Zea mays: one gene and its partners. Each later gene encodes a partner of the first gene's protein in a complex. Links are inferred from orthologs where the notes say so. Each region holds a gene or a part of one and is shown in the gene's direction. Other genes may lie near its edges. The genes, in order: Protein PLASTID TRANSCRIPTIONALLY ACTIVE 10; Protein PLASTID TRANSCRIPTIONALLY ACTIVE 14-like; protein PLASTID TRANSCRIPTIONALLY ACTIVE 12, chloroplastic; chloroplastic iron-superoxide dismutase; Thioredoxin-like fold domain-containing protein MRL7 homolog, chloroplastic.

Region 1 (6,003 bases):
ATGAGGGATCGAGCAATTGCTTACTCTGAGGAACTCCGCAAGGTTAATGTTGACTCGCCGGTTCTTGACTACAAGGATACAGTTCACGAGTTTGCAACCCTGGACGTATTCCTAAAAACACCACAGGCGCAGGCCTGTGCCGAGGACATTGCCATATGGATGAAGAAATATATATCCCTCAGAGGGCATGAGTTCTCATATTAGTTGTAGCAAAAACCATGCATTGTGAAATAGGCCCTTTGCAGGGAAGCGTCAATGTGTTCTTTTCAACTGGTGGAAAGAGGGATGTTGGATTGCAGTCGGGTAAACCAGCTAGCTTAATGCTGAGTACTGAGTCCTTTAGGCCCTGTTCGGTTTCACCGGAATAGACCAGGATTTATTCCAGCTCATCAAAATCTATATAAATTAGAGAAGTAATCCGGCTAGGAATCAATCCGAGGCTCAAATCCATAACAACCGAACAGAGCCTTAGTGATTTTTGTGGAAGAATGTAGTGTGCAAAGTTGTAGACTGTAATCAAAAGATACTCTTCCCCTTGTAGAGCTTAATTCTTTCATTCCTTTTGTACCCTTTGTGTATTTTGGAATTACTGGTGCTGGGGGTTACCATTTTTTGAGAAGAAATAGCAATCTCAGTGGCCATACTTGTGGAGCACTGAGCTCCACACAACGACATGTAACCTGATCGTTCATTTTGTTCCGCGTAGCGTATCTGCTTATATCAGCATGCATCCTTTTTGTTGAACATTGTATTTTGCATTGGCATCAGGTTTTATTACGCTATTACCCATATTGGTGTGCACTAAAATCTGGTATTATTTGAAGGCACATTTTTCTTGTCAGCATCATAAATGTTTAGCGAATGCGAGCTGTGTGTGTATGCCAAGTTTTCATCCACTTATCAACTTTCATGTCCAAAGTCTTCTCAAATCATAACCTGCTTCGTGCCTACACCAACATTCTTGAAGTTCACGTTTTTATTTGTAATTTCCTGTTCTTATTTAATTCACGTGCTCAGGCATTAGCTGAAAACTTGAAATTACGCTAAGGTTAGGAAAAGTCGGTCCGAGCAGAGTCTAGGACATCTTTTGTATTCCAGCTATACGAATTGTCACTGTCAACAAATGATGTCCGAAATCAGAATTGTACACAGATCAGACTTGTCAATCTTATGAAAAAGAGAGAACTCATAAAAATCAGCGGACCTTCAATAGTTTACATTCAAAAAATAAAAAAAATCTAAAAGCTAGTTTGACAATTTTATTTTTTTAAGAAATTCTAATTTTTACAAAGGAAACTAAACTAATTTTGGTCTAGTTTAACAACTCTATTTTTCCAAGTGATTTACATTTTCACAAGCGAAAATAAACTAATTTCTCTTATAAAAATAAGAATCACTTGAAAAAATACGGTTGTCAAGCTAACCCTTTTATTGGAAAATGAAATTTTTTAGAAAAATAGAGTTGTCAAACTAGACTTAGGGGGTGTTTGGTTACACCCCGCTAAAATTTAGCTCATGTCTAATCGAATGTTTAAACCTCCGTTCCGGGTATTAAATGTAGTCGGATTATAAAACTAATTTGTCAGCCGAAGATTAAAAGACGAGACGAATCTAGTCCAGTTGGTTGGGTCTATATTTCATACTCCTATTTAAAAGTCAAACACTTGATGTGACTTAGGCTAAACTTTAGCAGGAGCAACCAAACACCCCCCCTTAATGGTTATATCATAAATGACCTTTCACAAGACATTCCTTGTTCTGCTCTGAATAAAAGGTTGGAGTGATGGTTCTTTTTCTAGGTAATCGGTTATTATCTCGGTAGGATCTTTTGATCCTCCTGGAGCCGACCTGTAGTGATGTAAGCATTTTGTAACAACTCACATAATAAATTTAAGATTTATTTTTTATATTTTTTATAAATTTACTACTAAAAATAAAAATATAAATTTACGAAGCAGATTATATATCCTATTTTTCACAAGAAAATAAAAAAACTAAAAAATAATATATAACTATCAGAGTATTAGTTTTCATCTTACCGACATGTGGGCCACCACATGAACCTTATCCCCGCCGCGCCTCCGCTCCCTTAAACCCCGCGACGGGTCACTGGACGGCCACCAGTCCGTGCTCCCAAAATGGCGGCCTCCCCAGCGGCCGCCGCTACCTTCCTTCACCATCACCTCCCCTTTCCCAGTCGCCCCAAGACACTTCTCAGACCACGCCTCCACCGCCTCGCCGCGTCCATCAACCCCTCGTCCACCGACGAGACCCCCGCCGCGGACCCACCGGTCATCCCCTCGATCAGCATCAAGAACACTGAGCCCGAGGAGGTCGCCCGCCGCCGCAGTTGGGTGGAGCACGGATGGGCTCCGTGGGAGGAAATCATGACGCCGGAGGTCGCCTTTGCGCGCCACAGCCTCAACGAGGGCGAGGAGGTGCCGCTTCAGTCGCCGGAGTCCCTCGAGGCTTTCCGGATGCTCACGCCTTCCTACCGGAAGAAGGTGGAGGCTGAGCCAGGATACCTGGAGCGCCTCTTCGCGACGCGCGACACGCCCGAGCCTCTCGAGACGACGTGGGCCGGCCGGCTCCCGCTGCGGCTCGTGCCGCCGCGGGACTGGCCGCCGCCTGGCTGGGAGGTGGACCCGGACGAGCTGGAGTTCATAAGGGAGGCGCACAGGGCGGCCTCTGAGAGGCTGGACATGGAGGCGGCGGCTGCGGCAGGGGTGACCAACGTGGAGAAGCTGGAGGATGCGCCACAGGATCTGGCGCTAGAGAGGTACAAAATGTTCCTGAAGCAGTACAAGGAATGGGTGGAGGCAAACCGAGATAGGTTGGAGCAGGAGTCCTACCAGGTATAATTGAGTAACTCACTGCTTAATTCTAACCGGAACATCTTTATATGATCATCTAGAAAACGATGAAGCTAGTTTTGGTTGTCATTGTGTGCGTAATTGAATAGAATTTAATTCGTGTCTGTCTTGACATCCCATCGAGTATTTACAGTGTTCCTCTGCCATCATGTAATGTTAAACCTGGGCTATTGCAATTGTGCAGTTTGATCAGGATTACTTCCCTGGCAGACGAAAAAGAGGTAAGGACTACAGTGAGGATATGGTAGGTTCAGCTCTTGAACGAGTCCCATACATTTTGTGATTCATTTCTTTAAGGTACTGAAGTATTGTTTGCTCTGATGCAGCGTGAACTTCCATTCTACTATCCCGGACAGGTTCTGTTGGAACATCTCTACTTCACCTTTTTTTCTCTCTTAGCTAGTCCATTTAATTCTAACCATTTTTTAAATGGCTTTATGCTCTTGCAGATATGTTACGGGCAAGTAACGACTGTTCACCTCTACCAGGGAGCCTTTGTGAACATTGGTTGTGTCCATGAGGGGTATGTGCACTGAATTCTGCTGCATGATGAATTTACGATGAACCTAGTGTACTTAATTTAGCAAAAGGCAGGCCATGAAGGATTATCTCAACTCTCTCCTTACTGTAGGCTAACACAATTTTTTTTGTTTATGGTAATGCTATAACTTGTGTCTTCCCATGCACATGTCTGAAATTTGGGTGTCATGTTTTCTTGTTATACCATCCTTTTTTCTGCTGCGTGTACTGGAAATTACCACATTTCAGATTATTAAGCACACCCCAAAACTTGCACAAAACATTCAACACATAATCTAGATCCAATCAGCACTCTCCACCTTTCAGCAACAGACAAACTTGGCAAGCTTCTTAAATTTGCACTTGTAGCCTTGTAGGATAGTCCTCTGTCTCTTACCCTAGATTTTAAATTTAGCATAGTTGCTAAGACATCGTCTGCTATTTACCTTGTTGAAAATTTACAACTTGTGATGCTTTTAGGTGGGTACCGATAAAAGGAAATGACTGGTACTGGATCCGACATCACATCAAGCCTGGCATGAAAGTCTACGTGGAGATTCTGGTAAGTGATCTTGAGAAATTCACATTTACAGCGAGTGGTTTAAGGACATCTAGTTTCAATATTATAAAGGAAATGCTTTACATTGACTAAAGTGCATGTTTTGTTCATTCTCTCATTTTTTAGAACATTCTGTACATGTTAAGTAGACCGACCTTAATATCTATCAATTTCTGTGCAGGCCAAACGAGACCCTTACCGCTTCCGCTTCCCACTTGAGATGCGATTTGTATATCCTAACATTGATCACCTAATGTGAGTACCACTGTTATCATTGTGTCCTCAGTTCTGATAATATGAATATTAATGCCAGTTGCCATATCGGTGCTTGAGTTTATTCCAATGTGTATTTCCCTTCTGACTGCAGATTTAATAGATTCGACTTCCCACCAATATTTCACCGTAAGGAGGATACTAACCTAGAGCAGTTGTGGGTGCGAATTAATTCTGTTTGATTCAGTTTTCTGCTACCATTTTCAGATCTTATACTGGTGGGTGCATCTAACCTTTTTTATGAACTGGCAGCGTGAAGCCGGACGGCCACCCATTCCTAGGAAAAAACCTTTAAAAGATATGGAAAAGGAACCTTTGGTATCAGACCATCCTTTTGTTGACACGGTATTCTCCATGAATCACAATCATATGCCTCATGCTTCGTATATATATTATTTTGCATGCATCATGTTGTGGCTTGTGCATCTTGCCGTCAAATAGGTTTGTAAGTTAAGTTCCTTTTTTTTTTGTTTTGCAGCTTTGGGAATGGCATAATGCAGAGCAGATGATTTTAGACTACGAGGAACAAAATCCAGATAAATTCAAGAATACAACATATGAGTCCACAGTTGATGCACCCTCAATCGATGAAGAAAAAAGAGTTGAATACACCGAAGGATATTTCAAAGAAACACTGCTAAAAAAGAAAGTTGTGGTATGTAATATCTGTGGTTACCCATCTTTGGATCTTTGCAGCTTGTTAGTTGCAAGTAGATGTATCCCCTAATGGCATCCTGTTGTGATCCCCTTTTTTTTTAGAATATTAGCATCAAAGAACTTGATCTGGATGCTGCCCGTGCTGAACGCCAGGTACACCTCCTTTTACATACGCTGACAATATTTTGTTTAATCGCTTACCATTCCATACTGAACTTTAGTCGGTACAGCTGATAAAAAGGCTGAAAAAGGAAGCCGAGGAGAGAGGGGAGGAATACAAGGTTAGGAAGCTCCGACGAAACAAAGAAATGGATGAGTATGATCTGATGCAATGGCGTCGTTCATTTGAAGAGAGGGAAGCGCTTATCAGAGACATCTGCTGGTAAATCTTGTATCAACGAATTCTGTCACACCACCTACTGCGTAGTTTGGTAACTCCCTAATAAAGTTTTTTTTTTTATTTGCAGCCGGAAAGCGCTTGATCTTCCTATCGAAGAGCCCGGGCGATACGACGTGGACGAGACAGAGGTGTACGGGAAGGATTACTATGACCCAGAGAAGCCAATGTACCGGTACGACTACTGGGGCGAGCCCAAGAACACGGAGAAGACGAAGCTGGAGCGGGACGTGGAGCGCCACAACCAGCAGGTGGTCGGCGACGCGAAGAAGTGGTGCGAGATGTCGTACGACGACTACGTCCGCAAGAAGCTGCGGTTGGAAGCGGCTGAGGCGAGGGAAAGGCGGAGGAAGGCGGCCGAGGCGCAAGAGGACGAGCAGGAGTACGATGACGGCATGGACCTGGACCTGAAGAAGATGACCGATCCACGCGCCCCGCACAACCGGTTTTACATCACGAAATGAAAGGTTAGAGATAGTTGTTAGTTGTGCAAAAGGTTCGATTGCCTTGGTTGTTGTTGTTGGGCCACCGCTTCCGCCTATGGTGCAAGAGTTGGGGGCGCTTGATCAGGTCGTCTGACATTCTCCTTGTTGACCCAACCCCATTCCGATTGGGGCGACCTGGTCAAACGCGGGGGCGTGCTAGCTACGCTCAGTACAAGTATTCAGCATGGAATCTCCAGTATTTTATTCTAGAGAACATATCTTGTGTATATTGAAGTTTAG
Region 2 (5,840 bases), about 92 Mb from region 1:
GAGAAAGACAAGAAGTGGTTGGAGAATCTTCAAAAGTGGGATGCAGAGGATAAAGAGAGGATGGAAAAAAGACGAGAGGAGCTTGCTGCCGAGCAACAACGTGAAGACGAAGAGAAAATGAGGCGTGTTGCTGAATGCAGGGAAGATAAGGAGAAGAAGCTTGAGCGTGCACGTCGTGCAAAGGAAGCAATGGAGGAGAACCCTGATGCATTTCGCAAAGGCAAATGGCCTCGTTGTACTCAGTAGTATTGGTGTTTTATTTGAAGTTATGTAATAATGAACTTATTATTCGGTATTATGTATTGTCGAACAATGATATTTCGTAATGAATTACCTTCAAATTGATGAAAAATTACATAAATACATAATTGTCTACCATCGAATAGTACCGGCACGTGTCGCATGTCAATGAACTTGGCATTTCCATACGGATCTTGTTCCGCATTGCCTCCATGATACAAGCTCAAAAAATTGTCCATCTATTTGAAACACCAATTAAACATTCAATATAAACTGTGGATGGTTATTACCTAACCACAAACCACTAATTACTACCTAAATAAGTACAAATATAACCACCACCCACTAATATACTAACCACATTATAAAATACTCATATATAATAATTGCAAATTTTGACAGCACCTCCCCTGCACGGGGAGGATAAAAAACATGCACATTTGACTCACATTCATAATATTCAATCAAATTAGCATTTATCACATTATAAAATACTCATATATAATAATTGCAAATTTTGACAGCACCTCCCCTGCACGGGGAGGATAAAAAACATGCACATTTGACTCACATTCATAATATTCAATCAAATTAGCATTTATCACAATAACTAACATTCATCACATTCAAAAAACCACAAATTATAGCAAAACAATTTAACATAATTAACACAAAATGCTTACACAATAAACAAAAACCATATAAAATTTACCTAAACGGTCGGGGATGAACGTCGACGACGCGGGCGAGGAGCGAGCGCGACCGAGGAGCGCGCCCGGAACGGGACGACGGCCGTGCGGCGGCGGTGGGAGGCGTCCGGCCGTGTCGGGGCGGCGGCGCGGTCAGGGCTGGCGGGGCTGCCGGGGGGCGGGCGTGGCGTGTCCGGGCGGCGCCGGTCGGGGGAGGAGCGGCGCCGGGCGGGGCGGCGGGGGCGCTTGAGGGGCGGGGGCGTGTGTGGCGGGGCGTCGCCGGCCGGGGAGGAGCGGCGCAAGGCCGGGTGTGGGCGGGGCGTCGCCGGCCGGGGAGGAGCGGCGCCGGCCGGGTGCGGGCGGGGGGTCGCCGGCCGGGGAGGAGCGGCGCCGGGCGGGGACGGGCTTGGCGTCGCCGGCCGGTGGAGGAGCGGCGCCGGCCGGGGGCGGGCGGGGCGGCGGCGGCCGGTGGTGGAGCGCCGCCGGGGAGTAGCGCGGGCCGGGGAAGGAGTAGCGCCGGCGCGGGGTCTTGGGGGCGGCGTGAGTTCAATTTTTTTTGCACAGAAGATTGACAGAGGTTGAATACAGGGGGTCGACGCCAAGATCTATGGCGCCGACCCCCCGGACACGTGTTGCGCCGCCGACCCGGGGGTCGGCGCCATAGATCTTGGCGCCGACCCCCTGACACGTCACTGCCAGCCAACCGCCACGTCTGATGTATAAGCGCCAATAGTATTGGCGCCGGCACACAGAAGCTCGGCGCCAATGATGACGGCGCCGAGCTAAGGGTCCATTTTTTGAAATGAAACTGCCAGGGGCATATTTGTGGGAAAAAACCCGAAAAGGGCCAATTTGCAAAAAAGTTGGGCGCCACGACGTCCGTTTGTGCCAACGCAGCACGTACCTCGGCGCCATAGCCTATGGCGCCGAGCTGTGTTACCTCGGCGCCACAGGCTACGGCGCCGAGTAAAGGGTCCAAAAATGACATTAAAATTTTATAGGGTCCAAACGTGAATTTTTTTCCGATGAAGGATCAAAATGCAAAAAAATCAGCCCGCCACTCAAGTACTCAACAGATAACGTCTTCGGCGAGTCCAGTTCACCGTCCCTCCCTGTCCTTGCCATGGCCATCCCCACCGCCCCCGCCCTCCTCTTCCCCTCCGTTCTCCCTAACTCATTCCCCCGCCGGACACCCTGGCGACACCTCGTCCGGCGGCAACCGCGTCACCTCCGCGCGGGCCGCCCGCGCCTGCAGGCGCCGGCGCCGGCTCCTCCCCCGGTGGCGGAGGTCGCGGCGGAGCGGGACGACACGCCTCCGCTCAGGCTGCTCGAGCCGCCGCAGGAGGACGACCCCTTCCCGCCCGAGGTCCTCACCCTCACGCTTTCCTCGCTCGCTTACAGACGCCGGTCTCACCGCCGAATTTAGAATCGCTCGATTGACGGTTATCGTCTACGTACGTCATCGCATTGTGTGTAGATGGAGCCCGCGGACCCTGATTTCTACCGGATAGGATATGCGCGGATGATGCGCGCCTATGGGATCGAGTTCCTCGAAGGCCCCGACGGGATGGGCGTCTACGCTTCCCGGGACGTGGAGCCACTTCGCAGAGCTAGAGTGAGACACTTCATTCAACAATTCTCCTCTTGTCCAAGTCCAACCACTAGCTACCGATCAATTTGAGGTTTAAATCTCTGTCTCATTGCAGCTGGACGTCCATCACCACACCAGTTAGTGTTTGGATGCAGCACCTGTGAATCTGTGATTGGGTGGGAAACTCACATGAGAATAACTGGTCAAGGACGTTGTTCGTGTGTAGTAACTGTTAGATTATATTTACACTATATTTAGTAGGTAGTATACATTACCACTGGAAGTCAATGGCTTATGTTAATTGCCTAATTGTTATTTGCTACATACTTGCTGTCACCAAAAAATATGGCATCTATAGTTATAACACATGTTTGCTCGCAGTCGCATTAAGCTCACGAAATGCCAGACCCATGTGTTGAATTCTTCATCTTGATGCATGCTATAGACCTGTAGTACGATGGTCTTGTTCAAAAGAATTATATGATATTCTTGGCATGCTGAAACTGTTTGTATAACATATTTGGTTCTTTTCGTTCGCAATGATGAGCAATGTTATTGAAAGATGTGCTGATGTTGCTTTCTTTTCCAGGTGATTATGGAGATTCCGTTGGAGCTGATGCTGACTATAACTCAAAAGAAACCTTGGATGTTTTTCCCTGACATTATTCCACTAGGCCATCCTATATTTGATGTTATCGAGTCAACAGATCCAGAGGTAGGTGGATCAAATCTTTTGTTGCAAAGAGAAAACTGATCTCTTAAAATTCCGTCACTAGTTTCTATTGAATGTTCAGCGAATTAGTTAATAGCTTTGTCACGCTAATCATTTTGTTAACCAGTTGTTGGTTCTCCTATATTTATTTTAGGATTCATTACATAACAGCCATCTAATTGACTTGTGTTGAAGTTGTATGGGTGCAATTTAGCATTCAATGTTCATATAGTACATTTGAGTTTCCATACAGCTAGGATCTGTGTAATTGAGAATTTGAGACTGCAGAGCAATTTATGTGCACATTCCATCCATATGGTTGAAGTTATCGACCCATAAGCTCACAGTTGCATTAGAGAGGAGTGATACCACTTTCAAAAACTCAATCATCTGTCTTTTCTTCAACAAATATTAAAGCGCCAATAAATGATCTATGCTGGAAGCTGATGTAATTTGTATTACTCTTGCAGACAGATTGGGATCTAAGATTAGCATGTCTTCTTCTATATGCATTTGATATAGAAGACAACTTTTGGCAGTTATATTCTGATTTTTTGCCAAGTGTTGATGAATGCACTAGTTTGCTGCTGGCACCAAAGGTATCAAAAAGCTAACGGAAAGTATATACCTCTGCTGTGTCCTTTTCTTAGGAACCTCCTTATACTTGATTCTGCTGTTTGAATGAATTCATATGCCTGCCTTTCTAGGAAGATCTAATGGAACTAGAAGATGAAGATCTTGCTTCACAAATGTTAAAACACCAGGAACGAGCAATTGACTTTTGGCAAAAGCATTGGGTATACTTCTTCATTATGTTACTAGCTTACCTTCCTTGAACTCCTCTAACTAGCTTGATGGGTAATATCCAGGACAAACCAATTCCTCTAAAGCTGAAACGCCTTGCACGTGACCATGAGAGATTTCTCTGGGCACTGAGTATAGTACAGTCTCGTTCTGTCAACTTGAAGTTGAGAATGGGAGCCTTCATCCAAGATGCAAATGTGCTAGCTCCTTATGCTGGTACTTCTTTTCTTTTTTTGGTTTTCGTGATTGCTGCTCCCCCTCCCCCTCTCCGTTGCGTTATGCATAGGCACCTAAGTGAACAACAGGATGCTAGCGTTATGAGCCTGTAATAATAGTCACAAAAATATGGTTAGCTATGCATTTCAACTGGACTTCTACTCTACTCTGTTTTGTAGTTTTATATGCCGATCTGCTTGTTCATTTACTGTTACACAGATACAACATTCTACCATTTGACTTAGTTTGAGTCTTTGAGATGTGAAGGACAGGCTTGGTGCAGTGGTGAGAGCTGTCTCACTGAGTCACTAGGTTGCGGGTTCAAAACAGCATCTCCGCATTTGTAGGGGCAAGGCTTGCTTTGGTTTATCCCTTTCCCAGACCCCACTCATATGGGAGCCTCTAGCATCGTGTCTGCTCAACTTAGTTTGAGACGCAAGATTAAACTAATCCTAGATAATCTATATAACAGGAACAATGCCTGTGCATCGTCGAACTGTTGAGATAAAAACCATAAATATATCTGTCATATTTAACACAAGATATTTCTCCCATTCATGCATTATAGGCAGCTATCTGCCTTCAAATTATTGTTCAGACTGCTAGTGTAGTCCCCAATTATCTGCTTAGGAGTGCTTTATCTAAGTCATGATTTGTCTTTTATCCCCAGATATGTTGAACCACTCACCCAATGCTAATTGCTTCCTGCATTGGCGTTTTAAAGACCGTATGCTTGAAGTTATGATTAAGGCTGGACAAGCTATCAAGAAAGGAGACGAGGTATTGTCTAGGATGTATGCTCATCTTAATTTTTCCCTGAGCAACGGATTAATTGGTTTGTGTTGCTAGTGAAGTTAAATGTCTCTGTTTAATTACATGGATTTATCACCATAATAAATGATGCATGTGCGCCTTGGTTGCAGTCCTCACTTTTGTTAACATCAGGCTTAAATACCTGTTAAAAAATAATGGATAGTAAAAAAACTCTGAAAAGCGCATTCATTAAAATTATGCGTAAATGCTAGTAGATCCTTTAGCAAACTTTGTTTCTATTATTGTGCATAATTATATTTAGACCATTCTATTTCTCCAGTCCCATACATGTTGGAAAGTTCTCTATCCCATGTACCAATAGAAATACCGCTGCACAACCTTCTACCAGTCTCAGCTAAAATTGCTATCCTCACAAAGTCTATTCTTCCAAAATTTTAAGCCAATTTTTTTAATGTCACTATTTGACCCATGCACTCATGTACAGATGACGATAGATTATATGAGTGGCGTCAACAGCAAATTTATGGAAAGATATGGGTTCTCATCACCAACGGTATGACCACACACTTGTATCTTGTTGATGCTTACTTTATGGATAATGGTGTACAAAAAGTTTTTTTTACTTTTGTCATTTCTTTGATATCGGAAAACTGACAGTTAGAATTGTATCTGTGAAATTAAGGTCCTGCTTCTAGGAGACTAGTCTAGTTTTGAACTATTCTGTGCTGTTCTTATAGGCACCACAATGCAGTGCCTGTTGAAAAATTACAACGACATACCATTTTTAGACTGACATCTTATGTTGCTTGTGTGC
Region 3 (5,811 bases), on another chromosome or scaffold:
TCTTCAACAGAAGGATCAGTAACTGTTGGAGGGGGTGACGGAGAGGGAGGATCAACACTGATGTCATCCCACTCGTACTTAGCTATTTCTGGAAAGGCTTGGACTTTTGCCTCTAAGGCATCCTACTGAAGCAACTCTAGTTTTTCTTTCATGGCAAACAATGTCCTAGCTAGGATCTCTTCATCATGCATGTGGTCTAATGCATGATCAACTAAACCCCCCATGGATTTTGTGGCATCCTCGGTACAGTCTACAAGGACTTTCATCAAAACCTTCATCTTATCTTCTTTGGAGGATGCCATGATCAAATGGACTGCAAACATTTAATATATGAAGTAACATGTGCAAACCCTTAAAAAGCATATGCATTCATGGAATGAAAAAAGTTCCCACATAATATTGCCTACAAAATTGTATGCACCACCATGGATTCATAAACAAAAGGAACACCATTACAAACTTGTAGGAAATATAAGGGAAGTATATGTAACAGAGCTTGGAAAGTAGTGTACATGCGCTAGCATGGATATATGATAATGATGAAGAAAGGTAACAGGCAAATGTATCTTAAGGCATATGAAAAACATGTAAATGTCCATAATTTAGGGAGGAAGTAAAGTGAAGATGACATATGACATGTACAGTTCGATTCATAAACCAAACAGACACATGAAAACAATAAATTTGTCAATAGCACTTATATATTTGTTGGCAGGTACATGTTATTGTACATAAAGCATGAACATTATAAACACAATTAAACGTAAGGGAAGTGTATGGCACAGAACTAGAAAGGAAAGTAGTACATGCAGATAGAAATGATACAACTATTGTCATGATAGATACACATTTTGAAGTCTTGAACATTACATAAGTTTGTGGGTCAAACACATGTTCAGGCAGACACATGATCAGGCAGATAATCATAGTCAAAAGTAAATGAACATGTCATGAATTGTAGTGAACAACTCATGAACATACGTGTATTCCATGCAAGCACAATGAATTATGACATAATCAGGGTGTCAGTGGAATGCCATATATGGGTGAAGACTAAAATGCTACGAAAGGGTAACATTCCCCAGAAACGCCACAAATACAATTTGTTCACTTAATAAACATCTGCTTCAGTGGAATGAACATCACTGGGGAAATAGATTTGCTGTCATGGCTAATGTTAGGCTACGAGTTTGAAAACCTTGGTTCCATTGGCAAGTACGGGTGAACTGATAAATTGTAGGGGCCGTCTGCATCTCCTAGAAACATGACGCCCAAAGAAGGGTTCAAAGTGGTTCCGAATGCGCACGACTACTTAGTGTTGGTGTGTATTCCCATGTCGTGGTACAGACAAAGTTTGTTCCACCAGGGGGCTAAATCGGAGGATGAACAACGTAACAAGTTCACAGCTCAAACTACAAGTGTGGATCTGCTAAACTCATATGGGCTGGCCAAAATAAACTAGGATTTTTGAACAAAACCAGTGCTGATCTAAATATTTCCTGAATGAAGTATTCATTTGACGGGGTACAAGATGGTATACCTCAAGAAGGGAGGATCTCGCCCGCAAGACGGCGAATCGAAGCAAAATACGAGTGCTGTTCTAAATCAATCGTGAAATAAGTATTGATTTGACGAGGTTGAAGAAGGTAATACCTTAAGAAGGGGAGATCTCGGCCGCAACACGCCGAATCGAAGCGTCTCCGTGTGGATCTGATGGCGCCGTCGATGGTCGGAGACGGAAGCCAACGAATCGGTCGCGACGTACCTCGCCGGAAGCGGATTGGACTCCTCTTCGTCTTCGGTCGCGAACGGCACTGCGTGGTCACGAAGTCGAGGTCCTCTTCTGTGCAACCGAGGGGGGCCGGGGCCGACTCCACCGGCCGACGGGAGATCCGCCGCCGCGTCGCCGCGCTAAATCGCTCTTCCGCGGAGGGGTCGAGGCGAAGCGAGGTGGACCGAGAAGTTTCCGTAGTCTGGCGCGGCCGGCTCCGTCCGCGTGAAGGAGGCGAGGGGGCGGTTATAGTCATCCCCTGCATCTGGCATGAGAGAGAAGAGTGCGGCGAGGTAGGGGAGAGAGTGGCGCTCGCCGCTGCGGGAGGTAGGAGAGTACTGTAGCCACTATAGAATGAACAGTAATAGGGTAGGAGATGTGTAGAGTGAAGCGACAGTCTTATAGCCCGCTATTACACTTCTCTAAAGTCGAAAGACAACCTCCTTCCACGTGAGCGCTTTCTTCCTTCAGCCTTCTCGTTATCCTGAACGCGGCAATCTCCGAAGGTCCCATCCAAAACCTCGCCGCCGGATTCGCACCTCACTCTCGCCCGCGCACTACGAATTGACTGACGCCTACGCCCTACCGCTGCAAGCAGCACCATAGCGGGAGCCGCTACCATGGCGTCCTGCTACAACCCGTGGCGCCTATTCCCAGGTAACCTCCAGCTTGGACCCCATTTCATCGTTCGTTATTCCCTGCGCACAGTTCGTCTCGTCAGATATCACAGCCACTCTGTTGAAACTGTTCAGGCATGTCGACGGCGGTCCCTGCCGGGCCCGTCACGGCGCCGGCTCATTCTCGCACCTGCAAGTCCTCGGTAAGTGCCTAAACGCCTCGTACAGTTTATAACTTTGGTTCCTAGTTCCAGTTCGGTTTACGCGCCTGACTGGAGGTCGTTCGGTGCGTGCACAGAAAGTGTTCAGTGCTTTGCCTCACCGGAGGGGTCTGCTGTTCCTGGGCACGCGGCGTGCCAGGATCAAGTGCGTCAAGGACGACTCTCTCCATTTCGACCCGTCGAAGATAGAACCGCCACCGTACTCCAGCTACTTCGACTCCACATCCGGTCAGCTCGAGCCGGCGTCGGGCGCTCGGGCAAGCATACCCGGGAAGGAGTACTGGCCAGAGGGCACGGCGGCCCGCGTCCGTGCCGCGCGAGCGCCTGCTCCGGTTGGGGAGTCAGCTGGGATGCCATCATTTGGCACGAAGCCCGGGAGCAGGAGGAGAGGGTATAAGGAGCAGGTGACGTCGGCGTCAGGAACGGAGGGTGCACAGACTGATGACAGAAAGGATGGTGATGAACCTGATGTGGCTATTATAGGCTCTGGGGACGATGCATTGGAGGAGATAAAGGATTCGGTGGATGAGTATGTCATTTATGAGACACCAGAGGAAGAGGAGCTGAGTGAGTATGACATGGACAAAATGATGGGGCGGCCACACCCGTTCATTGATCCAGCAAAGGCAATGTCACTAGGGGAGCCGAAAACCAGTGAAGAGCTCTGGTGGCACTGGAGGAGGAAGTCTCAGGAGGAGGAAATGTGGTCAAGATGGCAGAGGAGGCGTCCAGATGTTGACACGGTTAGTTCCTCACTTGATTGAACCTAGCAAGTGGTAGGTAGTGATGTTTCCTTATATTGGGGCTGTTCACCAATTCCGGACATTGAAAGGTACTGCAACAAAAGGCCATAAATGTATGATTTTGAGTATTGCTATGGTACTCGCTAGTATTTCTATGCCTCATTTATAGTTCATATAGTATAAATGTTGCACGTACGGAACAATTTCCATGTGATCTTCCAGTGTCATTTTGTTTGTTTTATCCGTCCAAAAGTAGCTAGCCAAGTATATGGTATTTGTGTTGCTAATTACTGTCAAGTGTTAGCGACCATGGTGTCAATTATTTTATGGTTCTCCAGTTATTCTGTTTGTACTGTGAACGTGAGAAGAGTGTCAGTCTCACAGATGTAAAGGTGAGGTTTGTGCTTATGGGTTATGGCGTTGACGTCTGTGCATGTATATCGATGTGCAGGTTTGTCTGTTCATATCGCTTGATATGGTTGAGGCTTTGTGATTTTATTTTTTACGTTGACTGGTGTTTCAACTAACTTATATTCCGTGACGGCGATCCACATTATAAATTGTAATGTATGCTGTATCATTTTAGGTTTTTGCAAAGGCAATGGCGGAGACTGGGCAAATTAAAATTTTTGGGGACCATCCTTCACGGACAGAAGCTGCTCTTGCAAAGACAAGAAGACATTTGTACAAAGAGGAAAGGTTGACTTACATCCACAGAATACTAGAATTATTATACCATATATTTTTGCAGTACATCTTTACCGAATGATTTTATTGAATATCTGTGCACACATTGTTTCTACTAATTGCCTTACATCATTTGAGTTGGTAGTACCACCACTCGTGCATGGTCTCATCACATAATCTTTCGTAAACCTATTTAACTGCTCTTGGATTTACACCTTCTCCAAGTTATGCCACATATTACAAATATGTGGCGGTCTCATCATATATTCTTAAATACTGCATCAGAAAGATGTCGAGGATCAATTTTTTTAATTGACACAAGTTTATCTTGCCCATTTATACTCTTACATTTAATATACAATATAAAAACAGGTTAGAAGCAGAGCAAAGGAGACTAGAAGAAATAGGGCCAATAGCGTACTACTCAGAATGGGTTGAAGCTTATAAAAACAAGGATACATCACGTGAGGCCATACAGAAGCACTTTGAGGAAACTGGCGAAGATGAGAATGTTCAACTTATAAAAATGTTTCAACACCAAACTGCTGGGGAATATCGTATCATGATGGGCACCGATGTGCGTATTCAGCGAGATCCTTTGGCCATGAGAATGCGGGAAGACCAGATCAAACAGAGTATTTCTTTGCTAAAAAATCTTCTTCTTTTGCATGTCTTGTCTTTAAAGTCTATTTTTTTTGTTGCTGCTGCATAATCATGTGTTATTCGTCTTACATTAGCTTCTTTGTTCTATTCCTCCACAGAGATGCTCTATTCTAGTCTGGTACAACGTCGACTGGAAATAACTAGGAACAATTACATAATATTATTAGAAGCTAAATATAAAAAAACTGTTTTCATACACCTTGGAGTCGTGTCTGTGTTGCAGAACCTTCTGGGTGATTTATATAATCCCATCCACTGATTTGAGTGTGCATTTCTTGAACTAATATGCTCCTGTTTCTTATATATAACAGCAGACCATTTGGGTGGCTTGAGTTAGTAAAAATGTTGTTCAAAATCAGTGTCTTCTTCATAATTGAATGCCACCTTAAAGTTACTCTACTCTTGCAAATTGGAAGAACATATTTTTTGAATAGGAAGGTTTACTTCATACACTTTAATTGTATTGGGGAATATCCTGATCAGGACATAATATCTATTTTTTAATGTGTAGTTTGGGGCGGTGATCCTGTCTATCCAACAATTAATTATGTTCAGGATCCTGATGAAGTGATTGACTACAGAGGTCCTGAATTTCATGAGCCTACCCCTGAAGTTGTACCTTACCTGATGGAGGTATGAGATAGCACTTCTGCTGAACTCATTATTTGGACTTGCTTGGCTAAGATCTATCATAACCATGTTTGTAATGTTATCATCTGCAAAGTCATAACTGCTGTATAACCTTTACTTTTAAGTGCATTTAGTAGTATGACATGACAAGAATAAATGTCAATCCTGGGTAGCTATCAGGAGTCATGAATTCTTATTTGATATCTTTGTCTCCCTCTCAGCATGGGATAATGATCACAAAGGAAGAGCTATATGCACGTCTGAATGAAGAGAGAGAGGACGTCAATCAAGACATAACGGTATCTTACATAAACTATCAATTTAATTTCAATTGATAAGTTTGCAGGTAGGGTTAATGTTACTTACATATCTATTTTATTATGGCAGTATATTCCTGAAGCTAAAGATCCTATGGCTACCGCCATTGATATAGGAGAGCATTCTGTAAGTACCCACTCTAAACATTTCATTTTTCTCCT
Region 4 (5,716 bases), on another chromosome or scaffold:
GGTGAAAGCATCTGAGACCCTACTTGAGTTTGGTGATTAATGAAAACATAGGATTATTATGACTAACATGTGTTTTGCAAAAAAAGTGGGTTAGGCCGTGATAATGGAGAAGGATTGGGCTTATGTGGTATTTTGTGCCTCTATTGATAGAAATCAATTTTTGGTTTCCAAAGGACAAACGAGAAGGTTAATGACCAACTAGTTCCAAGTATCAATGTAGTTGTTAGACACTTAGGGCCTGTTATTTCAGTTTTTTGCTGATTCTGGCCACTAGAAGGTACTACGATTGCCAAATGCTCAACTTTTTTGCCCGCTTCTATGGGAATCGCTTTGGTAAAAACCATCCAAAATCAACGTGAACACATAATCGTCGCGATTAGAGCAATCAACCACTTCCTAGATCCTAAACCCTATGGACCCCCTTCATTTTCCTCCGCATATAATCCCCACGATACTTAGATTCTCCCCACAACCAGATTCTAAAAAAAGCTCGTTAGAAAAAAGCTTAAACAAAAATGCCCTTAGAATAGTGTTAGGACCTCATTTTTTTCCTTTGGTGTACTATAAAGGGGGGCATATAACAGATAGCTTGGCCTAGGCAAGTCTAGTTAGAAGTGGTGATGCACACTTGTGAAAACTAGTGCTAGGTAAACCCATGGGAGTCTACGAGAAGTTTGAAACCAATCCCAACTCAAAAAGTGAACATAACAAGTGAGTTGGCGGTGTTGCAGTGGCACCGAACATGTCTGGTGGACATCAAATATGGTTCTCAAATATGGTTCTCAAAGAGTTATCAGACAAGATACTTAGAGATGTTGTAAACTATGTATGAGAGACCGAATACTTACCGAACATGTCCGATGTGCCACCAAATATGGTTCTCAAAGAGGTCTACAACCGTGCACTCGAGCGTTGCATTCACTCAACGTGTTCGGTGTGGCATTGATGTGAACACCAAATACTGTTACAGTAACAACTAGTTTTTGGAACTAGCCATTGGAAAAGCGCGAGATTTGTCTAGTACAAATAGTTGGTGAAGAATAAAACATAGATATTAAAAGAATCTAACAAATAAGATATCAAATTTGATTCAAGAAATAATAAATTCTTTACTAGTAGCAAGAGAAACCCCACATTAAAGATGGATTGCTACAATTATGATAAACTTGATCATTTTGCTTACCAATGTTTTAATCCGAAGAAAAATAAGTTCAAAGACAAGAAAGATGACTTGAGTGACTATGAGAAGAAAACCAATAAAGCCTTCAAGAAAATAGATAGCAAGAAGAGGCAATTCCACGAGAAAGAAAAGGTTGATAAATACTACATTGTTAGTGTTTGGCTTACTGATATTGATTGAACAAATGATTTGTATTCATGTGACAGTGATGAAGAAGAAGATATAGTGACCACTCTCTATTGGTAATGATAGACAAGCTACTTCGAACACAAAGTTCTAGTAATGGTTCCTCCAAGTCTCCTTTGGTTAGTGTGGTCGACTACAATCAAACTATGGCGACTTTTCCCTACACGGGGGCTAATCTACGAAAACTGCATCGAACAAATCTAATTAGGGGTAATATGCAAAACTATCGAGTCGCGATTTATGCTCGAGATCCAAATTAGGGATTTTTTTATAAAAATATGTGGACAATGATTAATACTAGTCGCAATCCAAGTTAGGTGTCTTTTTGAAAAACACAGGATCCAGATTAGTAATCGCGATCCAACAGGGGTCTTTGTGAAAGTGTTTTGGGCTGATCTGCAAACTTGCGGTGAAATTCCGGTTTCGGCTTCCGCGGGGTGGGAATTTGGATAGCGCGGCGCAGGAAAAATGGCGGCTTCCGCTCTCCACCTCCGCCTCCACCCCTCGCCGCCGGCGGGTGTGAAGCTTCAGCAGCGGAAACTGCGCTCGGTGAGCCCCGTGGGACCCTCTACTACCCCCCCCCCCCCCCTTCTTTTTCTACCCCCTTCTCGCTGCATTCCTGTTCGTTTTGATTTTGCGAGAGGCGGAGCCACTCCTACTGTGGTCGCTGCCCCTGTGCCCCCACCCTGAACCCAGTACGCTGCCCGCCATGGCGCTTCGCGGCGACTGGGCAGAGTGAGTGGTGTGGGATGATTCTGCCGTTAGCTGTGGTGTTCCGGAGGCTTGCCGGGCTGCCTACCTAATCTAATGCTCTAGCATAAGGATCCGCATGTTCGACGTGTGTTTCACATGCTTAGGAACTCTCAGTCTCTCACTTATGTCACTTGGAAACTAACGTCATTTTGACTGCCAAGTTAGATGACTTTTCCTTCTTAAGAGACTGCCTAAGGGCGTGTTTGATAAAATTGTTAACTGGATATAAATTAACTTTAGCGCATCTAAACAGAAGGGCTAATAGGTGAGTTTTTTTAGTCAAGTTTTTAACTAGCTGTTAGCCAACTAGCTAGACAACCTTAGCTAATTTTTAGCCCAACTAGTAACTAGTCCTAAGGAATTCCATTGAATTGTATTTTTATTGATCAATTAGAATTGAGCTCATCCAAACATGTCCTAATTTGCTCAGATGACCTTAGCTTTTTACGAGGCTAAATTGCACTTTTCATTATTCAATGAGCATGCTTGGCCTTGAATTGATATTGCTGGTTTAAGGCCCAGTTTGTTTGAGCTTTTGCTGACTTTTCACAAACCTTAAAGCAGTGAAATCAATGAAATTGCTGTGCAGACATATGTTTTGAGATTATATGCTGTTTGTGCCTGATGTTTATTGCAGAAAATACAGAGGCAGGGTGGCCTATCTCGAAGATTTTCAAAAGTTGTGTCCTATTACGGTCTCACAACCCCACCATATAAACTGGTCTGTAAGCCTGTTGACTCCAGTCACAAAGATTTGCGTGCTGCCATTAAAGGAATGCCCTGATTTAAACTTTGTGTACCTTTGTTTTGTGGTACGGCGTTCAGGATGCTCTGGAACCTTATATGAGCAAGAGGACAGTTGAACTTCACTGGGGTAAGCACCATCAAGATTACGTGGATGGCTTGAATAAGCAGTTGGCTACCAGCCCTCTGTATGGATACACTCTGGAGGATCTGATAAAAGAAGCTTATAACAATGGCAATCCATTACCAGAGTATAACAACGCAGCACAGGTAACTCGTTTATGATACCCCGTTCATTATATTTTGCTTGCACTGACCATCTTCTGCCTGTCATTTGTTTTCTTTCAAAAAGAAAAATAATGCAATTTGTGCTTTCGCCAATAGTAGGATGGTTTTTGGAGTTCCAAGCTTCTGTCTTCTGACATGCAGGTCTGGAACCATCACTTCTTCTGGGAATCAATGCAACCAGAAGGTGGTGGCTTACCTGAGGGAGGTGTGCTGCAGCAGATTGAAAAGGATTTTGGCTCGTTTACTAATTTTAGGGAAGAGTTTATCCGCTCAGCCTTACAGCTGTTAGGGTCTGGTTGGGTTTGGCTTGTCTGTGAGTTTCTTTCTATTTTTTCTGAAGTACAGGCACCACTGATTCAAGCTACTGATTTCCTGAATTGCTCTTTCTAAAGCAAGTTTATAAGTTCAGTTTATATTCCATTGAATATTTGTTGCAGTGAAGAGAAATGAGAGAAAGCTTTCGGTTGTTCATACACGAAATGCTATCTCCCCACTTGCTTTTGGTGACATTGTATGTTTACTAGACTCCCTTTTTCCTCTTTTTGTGTTTTCTAAAATGTTTAGAGTACAAACTTTGCAATGACATCCCATATTCTCTAATTGCAGCCAATCATCAGCCTAGACTTGTGGGAGGTAAGGACATGGACTATGAGTTTTTAGATTTTATTTCGTGCCAAATATTGACTCTTCTCCTTTTATCTCCAGCACGCTTACTACTTAGACTACAAGGTGTGTGCTCCAGTTCTCTTTTTTGGTCCTTAACACTTAATTTTGAATTTTGACAAGTTAGTTATAGCTTAGCAGAAAACTTCTATGGTTCTTTGTTTGTCAACTTTTCAGGATGATAAGCTAACATATGTCACAAACTTTATGGACCATCTTGTCTCTTGGCATACTGTCACTCTACGCATGATGCGTGCAGAGTCTTTTGTGAACCTTGGTGAGCCAAATATCCCAGAGGCTTGAGCTACAGATACACCCTAGTTATCATCGTGAGGTAAGAATTCAGTACTTTGATGCATTGCACCTAGCACATATATATCTTAATCACGTACTTCAATGCAGGAAACAGGGACACTGTTTAGTTTCTTTGTGCTTTTTTCCCAGCTATTGAGTAACCTTTAATAGTAGAAATTAATGGAAATTCAATTCATATTCATAGGTTTGTAGTGCTCTCTCATGGCACGACAAAACTTTTTCTTGGAAAACTAGTACATGACGAAACAGAATACTAGTATTGAGATTGATGTTCATGCACCATGAGATTTCAGGTTACATGGAGGTTTTATGTAAAGGTTTTCTTTTTTCTATTTTAGCTAAGGCCAGGGAGTCGTGCGTGCCCAAGGCTTAACCTGCCACTGAACTGAGATGACAATTAGAGGCTGTCGCTGTCACATTAGTAGCACTTGGTTGATCTTTATTGGCAAGGAATGCTGCTATAAAGCACCCAGTCCCTCATAAACTAAATAAATCAAAAAAAAGCATCCTACCTTTAGCTAGTTCTTGCATCCACCATGGTTTAAAAGGCGGCTAGGCGGAACTAGGCGCCCAGCCACCGCCTGACCGCCTAGGCGACGCCTTAGTAGCCAAATACCAAGCAACCAAACAGCTGTTACAACTCATAAACTAGAAATCATCACAAATTCACAATAGCACAATAGTGGATCTGAAATATCCACAAAGTAGTTTCTAAAGGAACAATAGCAAGTCACAAAATTTAAAACAGCACAATACCAAATCTGAAATAGCCACATAGATAGTTTGTAATGACATAATTAATAGTAACTAGCTGCAGTTAGTAATGCAGCAAATATGCTAATGCAATCTAGCAATAGCTATTTTCCCGTCGCTCAAAAATCATCATCAAACTCTCCTGGGATATTGGGTGCCTCCCCTTCTTCACCATCATTGCCACCATTAGATTCATCTTCACAATCTGTGATTTCCGCATCATCATGTGGAACATCTTCTTCATCTTCATCTTCCTCTTCAGCCTCTGACATATTTTGTGCAGCAACAGAATTTCTTCTTGAATACACATTATGGGCTCTTCTTGGTAAGTTTCGGCCATGAAGTGCTTGTGATGCTCCAATGGCATTATCCACAAGGTCCCATGTAAGGTCACACTTACACCCACGCCCACCTTCAGGGACTACATGCAAAGAATCAGCCCACTCATTGTCCCAGTTGAAGTCCTCATGAACCAATGGATCAAAGTTTTTCCACTTCTTCCGGCGTAGTTTTTGGAACCTAACTTTCATCTTTCTGTTGTAGGAAATGAAGACAATAGAATTCAACCTCTTATGCAACAATCGGTTTCTTTTCTCTGTATGGATCTACAAAATAAGAAAAGAGAAAACACCTGGTCATTTAATTCTGAAATATTGGTTACAAAAGTCTCTCATCCACCACCTGGACAAGATTGTGGGCTGATAAGAGCCTGAAAGTCTCTCATCCACCACCTCCTCTGGTGTTCTCCGCAACATCTCAGCTACGGACTTGGCTGTCTTTGGCTGTGCTTTACTGTTTGCCTTAAATTGCAAGGTCGATTGTCTTTTTTTGGCT
Region 5 (4,239 bases), on another chromosome or scaffold:
CATTATACACATCTTGATTCTACTTTATTTAAATATATAATAATGATTTTATTGTTTTATGATTTCTTATTTTATATATTTATTGTGGCCTGCTACCTTATATATTATTATTAATTTTATATAAATGTATGACTTACGTGAATTTTTGAAGTCAATTGAGGGTACAAGTTACAATTTTTACCGATCGAATTTTTAGATTTCGATCGTAACCGGTGTAATTTTTGTACCGAACTTTCGTTTTCGATGTTTTCGAATTACCGATATCGTTTTCGGTTCCGGAGTTACCGTTTTCGATCTCGTTTCCGAGGAAAAATATGAAAACGAAAATGGTTTTTGTGTTTACCGATCGTTTCCGACCGTTTTCACCCTTATTGTCGATGATCTGTTTTCTTTTGTGTTTTTTTTTCAATTAAAACCTCTTATGTTTCTCTCTAGCCAAATTCTCATTCTCACCACTACCCGTGCTAGTGTTCCTTGCTTGGCTGATGTTGTTCCTTAGGGGCATTTACAGTGGTAGATTTCATAATTAAGAAAGAAATGAGATATTTATTGAAACAATCTCTCATAGTGAAGAGTTTCATTCAGCACGGTTTCATAGTTAACATGTAAAAGACAATATGTCTAGGTAATAATGTATACATGGTTTCATCTCCATGAAAATCATTTCATCTCTTTGTTTATTAATTGCTTGCCACATCATCTAAACTGCTGACATGGCACACCATTAATAAGAACGAAGCCCCTATGAAACTGACCATAGAAAATGGCATTAGCATCTAAGGTGCACAAAATAGTCTTTATGTCGTCTTAGGTAGCCCACAATGAGGGGTGCAACTTTCTTCTGTTAGACTGTATCTTTCCAAACTCATTTTGACAGTAAGTGTACATTCAGTGAATATGTGATACATTATTTCAAGGTTTCAGAAGCACAACTGATGGAAATAGTTATTTGGATAGCTCCATAGTTAATTGGTGTACTTTGTTGTTTATAAAACCAAAAATTACAATGTTCGAGAGGGTTAAGTTCCAATAGAATTTTTTGGGTTCCATCCTTATTAGAATAGGTAGGTTTGACGTCACGACTCTTCTCGTTTATTAGAGTTTGGGACGGTTGAGCAATATATGCGTAGTTCTTCACATTCGTCTAAATTTATAATGTTTTCTAGACTAAACTAACTATTGAAATATGACACATACACAATTATCATTTACTGATGTTATAGAGATAAGTTTCTCTCTTCTTTTGGTTTGAGAGATCCAAAGGGATTAAGATACTCCATTTGCTCTAATTTTGGCAGTTCCTCACACTCGTCATGCTTTCACGAATCATTCACGAGGCTGGAAGCGTCAGTGCCGTTGGATTTGAGAAGATCACGAGACCAACGGGCAACGGCGGACGAGAAACCGCCATTCGGATAGCACGGGCGCACCTGCCGACCGGCGAAACCCAGCCGCATACTCGCGCCCATTCTCGCCGCGCACGATGCTCCGTCTCCCCACCCTCACCGCCCTTAAACCCTCAACCCCCGCCATCAGCTTGAACCGTGTCGGCTGCAGCCATGGCCGCCGCCGCCGCAAGCTCATCTTTGTCTCATCCGCTCCTCCGCCGTCTTCTTCGTCTTCACGGCCTCCGAAGCCGACGTCGAACCCGGAACCACCAAAGCCCACACATGAGGCCCGCAACCGGAACCCGGATGGATCCACCGAGGCAGGGTTCCCCACAACCAAGCCCCGGAAGCCACGCCGTGGGCGCCGCAGCGAGTCGGCGGCCGTGGAGGACTTCGTCCGCAACCGCCTTGAGCAGGTCTTTGCCTCCATCCAGGAGCGCAACCCCGACGTCCTCGAGGGCAAAGGCGACATCCTGAAGCCGAAGGCCGATGTGGAGCGATTACCAGACGACGAGGGAGAGGGAGAAGGAGGAGAACAGAAGCCCGTGGTGGAAGAGGAGGACCCGAGCTGGCCGCTGGATGCCGATGTCGGATGGGGGATCCGGGCCTCAGAGTACTTCGACAAGCACTCGATCAGAAATGTCACAGTGGACGGGGTGGAGATCGATTGGGAAGGGGACGTCGACGAGGGGTGGGTCAAGGAAATCAATTGCTTGGAGTGGGAGAGCTTCGCATTCCACCCCAGCCCCTTAGTCGTCCTAGTCTTCGAGCGGTACAACAGGTAAGGACCATCCATTCCCTGTCTAGTTTTGATTTGTAAACTGTTGGCATTATGTTTGGAATGGGCTGTGTGTAACCCAATCACCATTTTAAGCTTTGCATTGTGTAATGCGGATGTCCGTAAAGTGTGAATCAAACGAAACTAGAAACTTCAGAACTGTCCTGGTACTGACAGATAAACGGCAAAACAGGCTTCAGTTTCTGGAATTGCTTTGTTTAGGGTGAAGTTTATTAGTTTATTTACAGGAGGCTTTGATTGTGTAGTATTGAACCCTGCATGATGTTGTGATTTGCAGGGCTGCTGACAATTGGAAGTTTCTTCAAGAATTGGAAAAGGCTGCTAAGGTGTACTGGAATGCTAAAGATCGCTTACCTCCTCGGGTAAGTTTGAATAGCATCTTTTGATTATTTGGCTGGGTTACTGGTCTTTGTGCAGGTCCTAAGTTTTGTTTTGTTTTGTTTAATAGACAGTCAAAGTTGATATAAATATTGAGAGGGATTTGGCATATGCACTTCAAGCAAGAGAATGTCCACAATTATTGTTCCTTAGGGGAAACAAGATCTTATATAGAGAAAAAGGTATGTCAAACTAACACCCCAACCTAGCCACCCCTATATGGTTCAAATTGTCCTTGTGAGAATTCTATAAAAAAAATAGTGAGGGTTACCTTTTTTCTTGCGGGAAATTAATTGAGAAACAAAATAGGTAAGTAGAGGTGAGACCTACTTATCATTGTGACATTTGAGAGGAAGAGGAAACTCCCATTAGAAGATTGGAGAGAAAAGGGGATCTATTAGTTGAGCCTCTCCACAATAGAGCAAAGGACGTATTTCCAGCTCAATTTATACGCCCATGCGGCCCATAAGATGAGCTCCTGACAGGATTCCCGTTGGAGTTCATCCTCCATTTTTCTCAATCTGAAGGTTTTGTTTCCATGCTAAAACGTCCATACAGTCAGTGGCGGACCCAGGGTCCAGCGACCCTAGGCGCCTGGCCAGACTTTGGTGCCAGCGCACAATTAGCTATTCATCGCAGCACCTTAATCGGAAGCTTTGAATCATTTGATCTGAGTGATGTCTTAAGTCTCGTCCGGGCTCTATTTCAGTTCTGGGTCCGCTACTGCATCCAATTCTGTTCCAGCCCCAGCTCAATGCACCAGCGACAGCACCCTGCAGTTCTGATCACGGGAAATTCCATTTTACTAAGGGCTAGTTTGGAAACCCTATTTTCCCATGGTATTTTCATTTTCCCAAGGGAAATTAGTTCATTTTCCTTTGGGAAAATAGAAATCCCTTGGGAAAATGGTGTTTCCAAACTAGCCCTAAAGGATTCCTATTTTCCCAAGGGAAAATGAACTAATTTCTCTTGGAAAAATAGAAATCCCTTAGGAAAATGTGGTTCCCAAACTAGCCCTTAAACGGAAAAACAGTAGAGGAAATTCCTACTGCTGTAAGCACACACAAGCACACATTGTTATGTATACACTCAATAGTCGTGTGTCAGTAGTATTCAGTATTTCGTGGTACTGACGCGTACTACTGGTTGGTACTGGATGTGGTTCATTCGTATTCAGTATTTCATGGTCAGTTTTAGCTACTAGGTGTAGAATAGCATTGCCAGTTTTATCTGAGAGAGGGAGGGAGGCTGTTACACAATTGAAGAAAAGAAAAGCACAATTACAGGAATCATAGGGCTGAAGCAACTACAGCCTACAAAAAGAGAGGAAATTCAAGGACAAAAGGACAATTCTGAAGGCCCTTCAATCCTGTGTAACTGCAGTGAAACTTTGGGCGTGTTTGGTTCTGGCTTCTAGGCCCAGGCAGGTTAAAAAAACTCAGCCGGCAAGGAAAGACCACCTCACGGTATTATATTAAGAAGCTTAATCGAAGCACGATCGAGGAAAGTCACGAAAGCTAGCTCCCCATGCAGCATGAGGGTCCGCCCCCTATAGGCCAGATCTTTACTCGTGCTTTGAGCTCTCCCAACCCCTACATAAGGATCCCTCTATAGGCCAGTCCATCTTGTGTGCACACAACTAGGGGAACCAGCGAGTGACTTTTTTTAACCTCA

The links.
Region 2: Protein PLASTID TRANSCRIPTIONALLY ACTIVE 10 (region 1) and Protein PLASTID TRANSCRIPTIONALLY ACTIVE 14-like share a complex: the UniProt entries of both Arabidopsis thaliana proteins name them as parts of the transcriptionally active chromosome (TAC) complex. The link is inferred for Zea mays from reciprocal best matches to the Arabidopsis thaliana genes PDE312 and PTAC14.
Region 3: Protein PLASTID TRANSCRIPTIONALLY ACTIVE 10 (region 1) and protein PLASTID TRANSCRIPTIONALLY ACTIVE 12, chloroplastic share a complex: the UniProt entries of both Arabidopsis thaliana proteins name them as parts of the transcriptionally active chromosome (TAC) complex. The link is inferred for Zea mays from reciprocal best matches to the Arabidopsis thaliana genes PDE312 and PTAC12.
Region 4: the proteins of Protein PLASTID TRANSCRIPTIONALLY ACTIVE 10 (region 1) and chloroplastic iron-superoxide dismutase are in contact, whole or in part, in a cryo-EM structure (PDB 8XZV), measured with the Spinacia oleracea proteins. The link is inferred for Zea mays from reciprocal best matches to the Arabidopsis thaliana genes PDE312 and FSD3. Residues at the interface, in XP_021866326.1 of Spinacia oleracea: Arg80, Lys81, Trp84, Val85, Trp89, Pro91, Glu156, Leu158, Arg177, Asp178, Arg188, Glu192, Arg195, His198, Lys199, Ala202, Arg204, Tyr276, Pro277, Tyr314, Trp315, Glu329, Leu331, Arg346, Asp353, His354, Leu355, Leu356, Phe357, Arg359; in XP_021853685.1 of Spinacia oleracea: Tyr59, Tyr60, Gly61, Leu62, Lys63, Lys64, Pro65, Pro66, Leu100, Asp104, Leu106, Tyr107, Gly108, His109, Thr110, Lys116, Val117, Tyr119, Asn120, Tyr121, Gly122, Asn123, Glu142, Lys194, Ser204, Asn205, Arg258, Gln260, Ala261, Phe262.
Region 5: Protein PLASTID TRANSCRIPTIONALLY ACTIVE 10 (region 1) and Thioredoxin-like fold domain-containing protein MRL7 homolog, chloroplastic share a complex: the UniProt entries of both Arabidopsis thaliana proteins name them as parts of the transcriptionally active chromosome (TAC) complex. The link is inferred for Zea mays from reciprocal best matches to the Arabidopsis thaliana genes PDE312 and MRL7.

What each region holds. Positions count from the first base shown.
Region 1 is NC_050103.1:170,021,742-170,027,744, forward strand, and holds the start of Protein PLASTID TRANSCRIPTIONALLY ACTIVE 10, read left to right. Parts: upstream 1-2,088; 5' UTR 2,089-2,138; coding exon 2,139-2,855; intron 2,856-3,057; coding exon 3,058-3,117; intron 3,118-3,199; coding exon 3,200-3,229; intron 3,230-3,322; coding exon 3,323-3,396; intron 3,397-3,872; coding exon 3,873-3,954; intron 3,955-4,132; coding exon 4,133-4,206; intron 4,207-4,318; coding exon 4,319-4,385; intron 4,386-4,476; coding exon 4,477-4,569; intron 4,570-4,702; coding exon 4,703-4,879; intron 4,880-4,983; coding exon 4,984-5,034; intron 5,035-5,102; coding exon of another isoform or gene 5,103-5,111; coding exon 5,112-5,263; intron 5,264-5,348; coding exon 5,349-5,742; 3' UTR 5,743-6,003. Other genes in the region: probable carboxylesterase 16, read left to right, coding at 1-204.
Region 2 is NC_050103.1:78,052,551-78,058,390, forward strand, and holds the start of Protein PLASTID TRANSCRIPTIONALLY ACTIVE 14-like, read left to right. Parts: upstream 1-2,043; 5' UTR 2,044-2,052; coding exon 2,053-2,295; intron 2,296-2,406; coding exon 2,407-2,544; intron 2,545-3,109; coding exon 3,110-3,235; intron 3,236-3,702; coding exon 3,703-3,831; intron 3,832-3,939; coding exon 3,940-4,029; intron 4,030-4,101; coding exon 4,102-4,252; intron 4,253-4,922; coding exon 4,923-5,032; intron 5,033-5,510; coding exon 5,511-5,579; intron 5,580-5,840. UniProt on the Arabidopsis thaliana protein: Essential for chloroplast development, especially for thylakoid formation. Involved in plastid gene expression, probably by maintaining plastid-encoded RNA polymerase (PEP) activity.
Region 3 is NC_050098.1:198,689,478-198,695,288, reverse strand, and holds the start of protein PLASTID TRANSCRIPTIONALLY ACTIVE 12, chloroplastic, read left to right. Parts: upstream 1-2,199; 5' UTR 2,200-2,391; coding exon 2,392-2,428; intron 2,429-2,523; coding exon 2,524-2,591; intron 2,592-2,686; coding exon 2,687-3,352; intron 3,353-3,938; coding exon 3,939-4,051; intron 4,052-4,411; coding exon 4,412-4,674; intron 4,675-5,213; coding exon 5,214-5,335; intron 5,336-5,553; coding exon 5,554-5,631; intron 5,632-5,719; coding exon 5,720-5,776; intron 5,777-5,811. UniProt on the Arabidopsis thaliana protein: Involved in plastid gene expression. Acidic transcriptional coactivator necessary for the transactivation of many PIFs target genes (class B genes), particularly during the regulation of hypocotyl growth.
Region 4 is NC_050101.1:80,341,091-80,346,806, forward strand, and holds the start of chloroplastic iron-superoxide dismutase, read left to right. Parts: upstream 1-1,819; 5' UTR 1,820-1,834; coding exon 1,835-1,915; intron 1,916-2,756; coding exon 2,757-2,840; intron 2,841-2,944; coding exon 2,945-3,133; intron 3,134-3,292; coding exon 3,293-3,464; intron 3,465-3,588; coding exon 3,589-3,662; intron 3,663-3,757; coding exon 3,758-3,784; intron 3,785-3,856; coding exon 3,857-3,880; intron 3,881-3,991; coding exon 3,992-4,117; 3' UTR 4,118-4,148; intron 4,149-5,716. UniProt on the Arabidopsis thaliana protein: Destroys superoxide anion radicals which are normally produced within the cells and which are toxic to biological systems. Plays important role in chloroplast development, particularly in the maintenance of thylakoids membranes.
Region 5 is NC_050098.1:188,497,992-188,502,230, reverse strand, and holds the start of Thioredoxin-like fold domain-containing protein MRL7 homolog, chloroplastic, read left to right. Parts: upstream 1-1,439; 5' UTR 1,440-1,483; coding exon 1,484-2,169; intron 2,170-2,464; coding exon 2,465-2,549; intron 2,550-2,635; coding exon 2,636-2,747; intron 2,748-4,239. UniProt on the Arabidopsis thaliana protein: Plays an essential role in early steps of chloroplast development. Involved in the regulation of plastid gene expression. May positively regulate plastid-encoded RNA polymerase (PEP) activity through binding to FSD3 and CITRX/TRXZ.